Linked DNA regions of Rattus norvegicus. The protein of the gene in region 2 purifies or fractionates together with the protein of the main gene of each other region. This does not show direct contact. Links are inferred from orthologs where the notes say so. Each region holds a gene or a part of one and is shown on either strand. Other genes may lie near its edges. The genes, in order: Dnm2 and Snx33.

The links.
Region 1: the proteins of Snx33 (region 2) and Dnm2 purify together in Homo sapiens (co-immunoprecipitation; 3 studies listed by BioGRID and IntAct, with this or other methods). This does not show direct contact. The link is inferred for Rattus norvegicus from reciprocal best matches to the Homo sapiens genes SNX33 and DNM2.

The regions. Positions count from the first base shown.
Region 1 is NC_086026.1:28,253,012-28,257,399, reverse strand, and holds the start of Dnm2 (dynamin-2), read right to left. Parts: upstream 2,812-4,388; 5' UTR 2,704-2,811; coding exon 2,543-2,703; intron 1-2,542. UniProt on the Homo sapiens protein: Catalyzes the hydrolysis of GTP and utilizes this energy to mediate vesicle scission at plasma membrane during endocytosis and filament remodeling at many actin structures during organization of the actin cytoskeleton.
Region 2 is NC_086026.1:66,220,651-66,225,252, forward strand, and holds the start of Snx33 (sorting nexin-33), read right to left. Parts: upstream 2,860-4,602; 5' UTR 1,952-2,859; coding exon 481-1,951; intron 1-480. UniProt on the Homo sapiens protein: Plays a role in the reorganization of the cytoskeleton, endocytosis and cellular vesicle trafficking via its interactions with membranes, WASL, DNM1 and DNM2. Acts both during interphase and at the end of mitotic cell divisions.

The DNA.
Region 1 (4,388 bases), about 38 Mb from region 2:
CTCCTGGCTGACAGCCAGATGTCCACTGATGGACATTCAAGAACAGCAGAAGGAGGAAACAGCAGTAGGGTCAGAATAGACTCTCAGTTCTGACTGTTTAGTAAAATTCACATCAGGAAATAGAGAATGGGACTGAGTGGGACCCTCTTACCGAGGCCGCATAATGCAGGTACATTATGGCATTCTAGAGTAATCACTATGTCTTAAGCCAGACATAGTGGTGCATACCTGATCCCAGCACTTGAAAAATGAAATCTGAAAACTGCTGCTACAATTCTGGGGGCCAACCTGTGCTATACAGTAAGTTCCAGGTCAGCCTGGACTACAGTATGAGACTGTTTCAAAACAAACAAACAAACCAACAACAACAAAAAAAAAAACCAGGAAGGGTGCTGTACACCTTTAATCCCAGCACTCAGGGGGCAGAAGCAGGTGTGTTCAAGGCCAGCCTGTCTATGTTGTGAGATGCTATTTAAAAAACGAATCAATAGCTGGGCTTGGTGGCACTTGCCTTTAATCTCGTCAACTGAGGTAGAGGCCAGCCTGGTGTACAAAGGGGGTTTCAGGACAGCCAGGGTTCAGTTACACAGAGAAACACTGTCTTAAAAACAAAACAAAACAAACATGGATATGTGCATATGCATATACATAAAATGTTTATTTCAGCACCTAAAGCCACAGTCATAGAAAGATCTCTGAGTATGAAGCAATCAAAGAAAACATAAATATCGATAATATTTGTTATCAATTGGTGCTGGGAACTGACCCCAAGGTCTTATTCATGCTAGGTAAGTTCTCTATGTCTGAGCTTAGCCCACAGCTCTCTCTTGGCCTTTTTTTTTTTTTTTTTTTTTTTTTTTTTGAGACAAGGACTAACAATGGAGGCCAGATTGACCTCAAACTCAAGAAATCTGCCTCAGACTCCCACGTCCCTAAGGTCACAGGTTCAGCCTAAATAAACACTTCCAACAACCCAGTCCCTGCAGCCTTGCATCAACTTTGAAGGTTTTTGAGACAGGGTCTGACTATGTATCCCTGGCTGCCCTAGAACTCTATGTAGAGTGAGCTAGCCTCAAATTTAGGGATGCCCTGCCTCCACAAGACTGGTAACAAAAACACACAACACAGGGTGTGTGTGTGTGTGTGTGTGTCTGTCTGTCTGTCTGTCTGTCTGTCTGTCTCCGTCCCAATGTTAGGGTGAGGCAGAGAGTGGTGGATCACTGGAACTCACTGGCCAACCAGACTAGCTGATCAGTGAGCTTCATGCTCAGTGAGGGACCATGTCTCTAAAATTTAAGATGGGAGGACAAACGCCTAATGACCAGAGTTTGATTCCCCAGGACCCACAGAGAATTGGAAGGACTTTACAAAGATTATGTCCCCTGACTCCACAAGTGCACTCTGGCACACACTTGGACACACACACACACACACACACACAATGATAATGTCCACAGCAAAGCAAATGTTATCACTGGGCACACACTGCAGCATCATACATGGAGCACTTCCTGGAATGGAGAAGTGCTGCTGTGTGCAAGGCAGAGGGGGAGGGACAGGAGTAAATCAACATCCCTTCTTCACTCACTTCCTGGATCCTACAAACAGCTGCGAGTGGAATTTGCCCACTGGACAGATGGAAGAAGCTGAGGCTCCCAGAGCTGTCTGGAGAGCATTCCAACTGGGAGGCTTTAGCTTAGAAGTCATCTGACGGGTTTGGGGATCCTGGGCCAGGAAAGAACCCTACAGAATGTTTCTTCCCAAGTTCCCTGAGTTCTGTCACTCAGAGAGGATGGACAGGCAGGGGTGCCTGGGCGGTAATGGAGAACAGACTAATGGATGGATTCACTTGGAAGACAAGAGTCAGTCGGCCCAAGAGAACCAGATAACAAGAGGCTACCAAAGTTCAGCAGGTCAGATGGCAGAGGCCCACTCAAGTAAATAAGGGGCACAGATGGGCATTCGCACACGAGAGGTCACCTCAGATGGCTAGCCAGACAACGGTGGACCTCAGAGTGGGTCTGGACAGATGGGACAACCAAATGGTGCCCGTAGGAAGCCTGTTCAGAACGGATAACCAGCTAACCAGACAAGAGAGAAGGCTCCAGATAAATAACTGGCCAGACAGACCCCAGGGGTCATCCCCCATGGATGGCTGGGTGGCAAGTGTTATCTTCAACAGCACACACACTAAGACTTCCAGGCAGCAGGAGAAAAGAGGAGTGGATCACCACAGATCACAGGCAAAGCGATGTCAGAGTTACCCAGCGATAGCCGGAACTAGATGCACCAAGAGAGGTTTGCATTGACCGTCTTGCCCCAAACACCACCCACGATCATCGACTAGTACCAGACCTGGATCTCCATCTCCAGTCTCTGAGAAAAGTCATGGAGACTCTTGCCCCAGACCTTACCCAATGCCACCGGTCCTGAGGCGTCCGCGAGCCGCAGTTCCGCCATTCCCCGCCCGCCCTCCGCGCCCTAGGCCGCCGCCCGCCCTCCCAGCCGGAGCCCCAGAACCGCCGCCGGCGCGCTCGCTCACCGGCCCACGAAGTTCTCGAGCACCGAACTCTTGCCGGCGCTCTGGCCGCCCACCACGGCGATCTGCGGCAGGTCCAGGTGGCAGCTCTGACCGATGGAGCTGAAGGCGTCCTGCAGCTTGTTAACCAGCGGGATGAGCTCTTCCATCCCGCGGTTGCCCATGGTGCCCGCCTCCGCCCCGCGGATCCCCCGACTACGACTCGCGGTCCCGATGCGTCTGTGGCCGTTGCTTCCTCCTGCTCTGCTCTGCCAGCCCGCCCGGGCTCCCCTTCGCCGCGACGCCCGCTCCCGGCTCGGCCTCACAGTCACCGCCTCATCCGGTTCTCAGGCGACACCCGACCCGAGCAACCTCCCCTCCCGGCCTCCGGGGTGGAGCCCGCAGCCCTAATGCTATATCTAATTGGTCAATAGCACTGCCACTCAAGAACGTGAGCCAATAAAAAAGGCACGAGGAAGGGTTAATTTCACAAGTTCACTGGGTAATAAAACCGTCACTCTTAAATGAAAGCCAATAGAAATCGAGCCGGGTTGTCAGACCGGGAAGGCGGGGTCTCTGGGAAAGACATTGAGGCCTCAGCTCACGGATGCGCGTTGGCTTATTGGTCACACAAAACGTCAACCTGCCAATAGTGTAAGGAATCAATCCTTCTACACTGGATTGTCACTTGACACTAGTTAATTCCGTAAAAATTTCTCATTGGTTGATATAAATATCACTTCTCTACTCCAACCAATAAGAGAAAAGAAGAGCCGTAATCTTTTTATACAGTTTCTATACAGTTTCTGTATGCTGGCTACAAACTCTCGATGTTCCCCCTGTGTCCACCACCCGGTCTTGCTAGGATACACGTTACTAGCGTCCCAATCCTGACTGACAACCGCGTCATAAAAATTCTTTCAGCTTTCCTGGCATTTTTTAACACTTTGTGATATTCTTTTAAAGCAAAGGGCCACAGTACTCAGGGAGGCGAACATCGTGGATAAGGTTCAGTGATTGTCACACCTGAATTCTGAGGCTGTAGTGAAAACTTGTATTTTAGAAAGCCTCACAACTCCTAGCTCTGAAAGAATCCCAATGCCAGTGAAGATAAGTGGACACTTCTGCCTCACAGAAAAGTACTCTCGTCTTCTCATGCCTGTATCTGTATATTACTAAGGATTGAGTCTACGGTTTCATGAAGCTAAGCAAATGTTTTACCAGTGGCTACAACTCTAGGGTTATTTTTACTTTATTTTATTTTTTGCTCCAAGAGCGATGGCTCAGTGGTTAAGAGTACTCGCTGCCTTTGGAGCAGACTCAAGTTTGGTTCCCAGCACCCACATGACAGCTCACAACCATCAGTGAGTCCAGTTCCAGGAATCTGACACCCTCTTCTGGCCTCCATTAGTATCAGACACAGACATGACACACATACCTACATGCAAGCAAACACACCGATGTACAGTTTTTTAAAAATTCACATAACATTTAATTTTTTAGAATTATCTATTTATGTATAGGAGTACACTGTAGCTGTCTTCAGACACACCAAGAGAGGGTGCCAAATCCCATAACAGATGGCTGTGAGCCACCATGTGGTTCCTGGGAATTGAACTCAGGACCTCTGGAAGAGCAATCTGTGCTCTTAACCACTGAGCCATCTCTCCAGCCCAACATTTCATTTAAAGGATTTACTTTTTTATGTGCACCAGATACGTGCCTGGTACCCATAGAAGTCAGGAAGCATCAGATCCCCTAGATCGGGAATTCTGGATGGTTGTGAACCGCAATGTGGGTGAGCAACAACTGTTCTTAACCGCTGAGCTATCGCTTCAACCCCAAACTCTTGTTTTGTGTTCATGGTGTT
Region 2 (4,602 bases):
TGACTAGCAGACAGGCCAGAGAGGGAGTCTGTGCTTAGAGGCTGTGAAGAGAGAGCCTCTGAGAGGGGAAAGATAACCTGCAGTGTGCTCTTACCTGTGTCTTGATCCTCTTTGAACCCATGGGTTCATCTAAGACAAGACCTGGGACCTGGTTATCTCTGTGTTCCCAGAACTCAGAGTAATACCTTGGGGTTCCATACATGATGGGATAAATGAGACACAGGAGAAAAAAAAAGAAAGAAAGAAAGAAACCAAAACAAATCGATGACCGCAATGGACAAGAGGCATTCACAGAGCTCAGTAAGAACAAAGACCAAAGCGTCCCCACTCTCCCTCTGCCTACAACAGCACTCTCCAGAGAACCGTGTCAACACACTTGTTGAGCCAGCGAAGGAGACGCAGACAGGAGAGTGTGATGAGCTGTTCATAGTCCAGGCTCTCCCATGTTCCCAGAGACCAGTAGACTCATGAAGGGCTTACCTTTCTGCAGGTGGATAATGTCAGGGAAGTTGGAGAGTAGGCCCTGGTAGAGAGACAGTGTGTCGAGCATTTGGAAGAGGTCATGCTTGGGCTGTCCAGCAAACATTTCTCCAACGGTTTCATAGGTCCGGCCAGTGTGAGAAATGGCATTGTTGAGAGCCTCAGACCTAAAGGGAGGGTCCATCTGGAAGGCATGGCTAATGGCCTGGAAGGCACTTCCGAGCTTCTGGAATTCCTTGCGGAAGCCTCCTACATGTTTCCGCACCAATTCTGCTGCTACAGTGCTAAGCTGTAGGACGCTGTCATCCATCTTCTTACTGAAAGCCTTGAATGCGTCCACCCGATCCTCTACATCCTGCAGATCCTGGTGTTCTGTGGGGATCTGGAAGGTGAGCAGGAAACTGGCACCCACCATCTCATCCTTCTCTGCTCGGCGTTTCCCCATCTTCCACTGTTTGTCATCCAGGCAGCTGAGGAAGTGCTGGAAGCCCTCATACTGGGAGAGCACAGGGTGGCTGGTCATGTGGTCCATCCAGAGGATGAGCCTTCGCTTACGTTTCTCAATGAAGTCCTCCTCAAAGCGGCCTGTGGCCTGCTTCTCAGGCAGGTGGGGCACTGAAATTACTGTGAACTTGTGCAGAAGGCGGTTGTATAGCCAGTCAAAGTGTTTGTAACGGCGGTAAACAGGTGAGCCAGCGTGGGTGGGCGTAAGCTTGTAGGAGATGTAACTTTTAATGCCTTTGAACTTGGTCTGCTTGGTGGGGTCCTCTATGGAGCAGGCAAATGGGTGGGGATTGGCCTTCCACTGAGGCCCACGTGGGCCCATCTCAATGGAGTAGGTCTCAGCAATCTTGGCCATCATGGGCACATCACCAAGGATGAAGGCCTCCACTCCAGAGCGTACAAAGCATGAGAAACGATTGAGGTTCCGTCCTACAACACTGCCCCGCTTGGCAGACGCTAGACTGTCCTGCCTTTCCAGGGGTGCCTTGGGTCTGAAAGCCATATGCTGGTTGGGGTAGGCACCCGGGTAGGAGAGGTTAAGTGGAGGGTGTCCATTGGTACCTAGGCCACCAGCCAGTGGCTCTTCTACCACTGTGCATCCATCATCCCAGTCATCCCAGTCATCGTCATCATCATCCTCAAAGCTTCCTTGGTTTGAGAGGAAGCCACTGCCCCCACTACTCCTGGCTGGACTGGCCGTACTAGGGCTGCTATACAAACTCACCTGGGTGCCCAGGGAGCCTGCAGGGCTGTTGGAATAGTCCCCATGGTTGGTGCTGATGCCAGGACGAACAATCTCAACGTAAGAAGCAGGGAAGAGCCCTGTCTCCCCACGGCTGTTCTGTCCCTGCAGCCAGCCGTCCAGTGAGGTCTCGCTGAAGATAACCAAGTCTTCGTCCTGCTGGATGCTGATTTCCTCCTTGTTCTCGCTGTGGAAATCATAGAGGGCTCGGCCTTTCAGTGCCATGGCTAAGTTATCTGTTAGGTCAAGACTGGAAGGAAAATGCCTTGCCCAGACCCAGGTTGTCCAGCAGGGAGTCCAAAAGAAAAGTGCTTGCAGCTCAAAGTCTAGTACGCCCTACTGAGCCCCTTGGACAGGGTCTCAGCTGCACAGATGCTGTCTAACTGCCTCTTGGTCAAAGAAGTGTCCATGGTCCAGAAACAGCCTTGGGGTATCTGCCTGTATGCAGGGAGGGGTTGGTCATGGCCGCAGTCTTTCTCCTCTCCCTTTGCAGCCCATGAAAAGGAGCGAGTCTCTCCCTCCCCACACACCAAGCAGAAAAGTCAAATGACTTGGAGAAACCAGCTCTGCTAGAACAAGAACGGGACAGACACTTTCTACTAGAACAATGTTGTACAAAGGAAGAGAATTAACCTCAGACCACGGTCCCAGAAACGCAGGCAAGGTTCTGCCTCTCCTGGCTCTCCGCTCCTACTGGCTGCTCCGGCTTTGGGAGGCTCTCACATTCCTCTGAAGATCTGCTCCTTCCTCCTTCCTCTCTCCTCCCCGGCCACCGAGTCTTCAAGAATCCAGAAAATCCAAGAGGGGCAAGGAGAATAACAGCAGAGTCCTGAACCAATTCCAAGGGTGGATGTGTCCGGCCTCCAAACGAGCCAGGCCAGGAAAACAAGGGCCAAAGCTTGCACAACCAGCCGATAACTACTCGACCTAGGGGGTGCGACCCGGTCTCACCCGCTCTGGTGCCCTCTTCCCGCCCTGCAAATGGCCAGCCCCCACCCCCAGATAACAAGGGGGCGCGACAAGCGGCGCAGAGGACTTCTGGCCTCTTTCTCTCAGTGCCTCTTTTGTTTGCCTAATTCCTCGGCAGTTTCAGAGTACGAAGCTGACCCGGATCGGAGACCCAGAACCCCTGTCCAGAAGTAAAGCTAGTAGAAACCTCCACCATCACCATCACCATCCCTGCCCCTGATGTGCCCCCAGACACTCAACAGCAGTCGGTAGATAGAGCTCTGTCGAATAGATGGCGTGGCCGGGTGTTTGTCGGACCGTCTGTAGGTTCGTTCTCCGCGATGCCCTCAGGATACGACCCGAGAGGGACTAGCTGAGTAGCTGAGACCCAGCCTCTTGCCTCCTTACCCCTCACTCGCAGCCCTTCAGCGCTGCCAGCAGGAAGCCAGGTCCAAAACAAACAACCTCCTTTAAAAAACAAAACAAAACAAAAAAACAACAACAAAAAGAAAAAGAAATAGAAAAAAGAAAAAGAGAGAGAAAAGGGGGAAAAGGGAGTCCAGGAGGTGGCGTTCGGAGGAAGGAGGTTAAAACTGTAGGGGAGGTGAGGGGTGGAGAGAGAGGGTGGAAGGGAGGTATGAGGGAGGGAAAGCAGGCTACGGAATTCAACAAACTCTACCGCACTTCCGTGCGTCCTGGCCGGGCTGGGACCGCGCAGCTCCTCCCTCCCGCGGCCAGGGTGCCACCGCCGGCCTTCCGCTCACTTTCCTTCTGGCGGGCGCCCTCTCTCTCTCGGGTTCAGTCCGGGTGGCCAGGATCCAGGAAATGGACCCGGGAGTCGGGGAGCTGCGAGCTTTCAGCAGCCGAGTTGCGGGCGCCCAGAGTAGCTTCTCACTGGGGTTGGAGCGCCGCGCGGGGGAGCTCGCCAGCCGCCGCCGAGCTTCGCCTCCTTGACTTGGTCATCCATCTGCCTTTTCCGTGACGCAAGTGCAGGAAAACTCCGAAAGTTTGCGGAGCGCAGAGTGGCGAGGAGGGAGCTAGGAGAACCGCCCCAACTGCAGGGGAACAGAGCTGCGGACTCCCTTCTCCCAGCCTCCTTTCCAGCCTCGGGTACTCTTATCTGTCTAGGGACTAACACAGCTCCGGGATTGTTCTCAGAGGGTGGAGGCAGTAAGCTCCCAGCCTGGTGTCCTGCACGTGATAACAAATGCTGTGAGCCTGATTGGGGAGAGGAGCCCTCCTGCCTTAGGCAGCTCCTAGGGGGTGGGGGGTGGGGGTGGGGGGGCTGAGGGGGGAGTGCGTAAGACCACAAACTTCTGCACTGACAAGTTACAAGCTTAGGCACAGGCGGATTCTGGTTGCTTTGTCCTTTCGCGGGAGCCCGATCTTCCATTCAGGCCAGCAGCAAATAGCTAGGAGAGAGGAGTGGTCTGGTAGATAGCCTCTAGGCTTCCAGGATTTGACCCTCCAGATTATGCAAAAACTAGATGAGCGCTATTTAAGACAGGAATTGCCCTGAACTCTGGAGCGAATCTCAACAGTTGGATTGCTGCTGTGCCCCTCTGGTTTGTAATTCACACAGTCTGTCTCATCATTAAGTTATATATCCCAACCAACAAGTTAACCGCAACTATGCTTATCTTCTGGAAGGTCATAAGTATCCTCACAGGTAGGCAAGGTGTTCCTGTCTAGTGTAGCCAAATGCCATGGGAAGACACTTGTCCCAGCCTGAGTGTAATACATATCAAGGACATTCCCAGCGTTGGGCCTACACCTTCAGTACCAGCACTAACAAAGACACGTGGTTCTCTGAGTTTGAGGCCAGCCTGGTCTAGAGTGAGTTCCAGGTCAGCCAGGGCTACAGAGAAACACTGTCTCTCTGTTTCTATCTCTCTCTGTGTGTCTCTGATCCTGTATGTTTGTCTCTT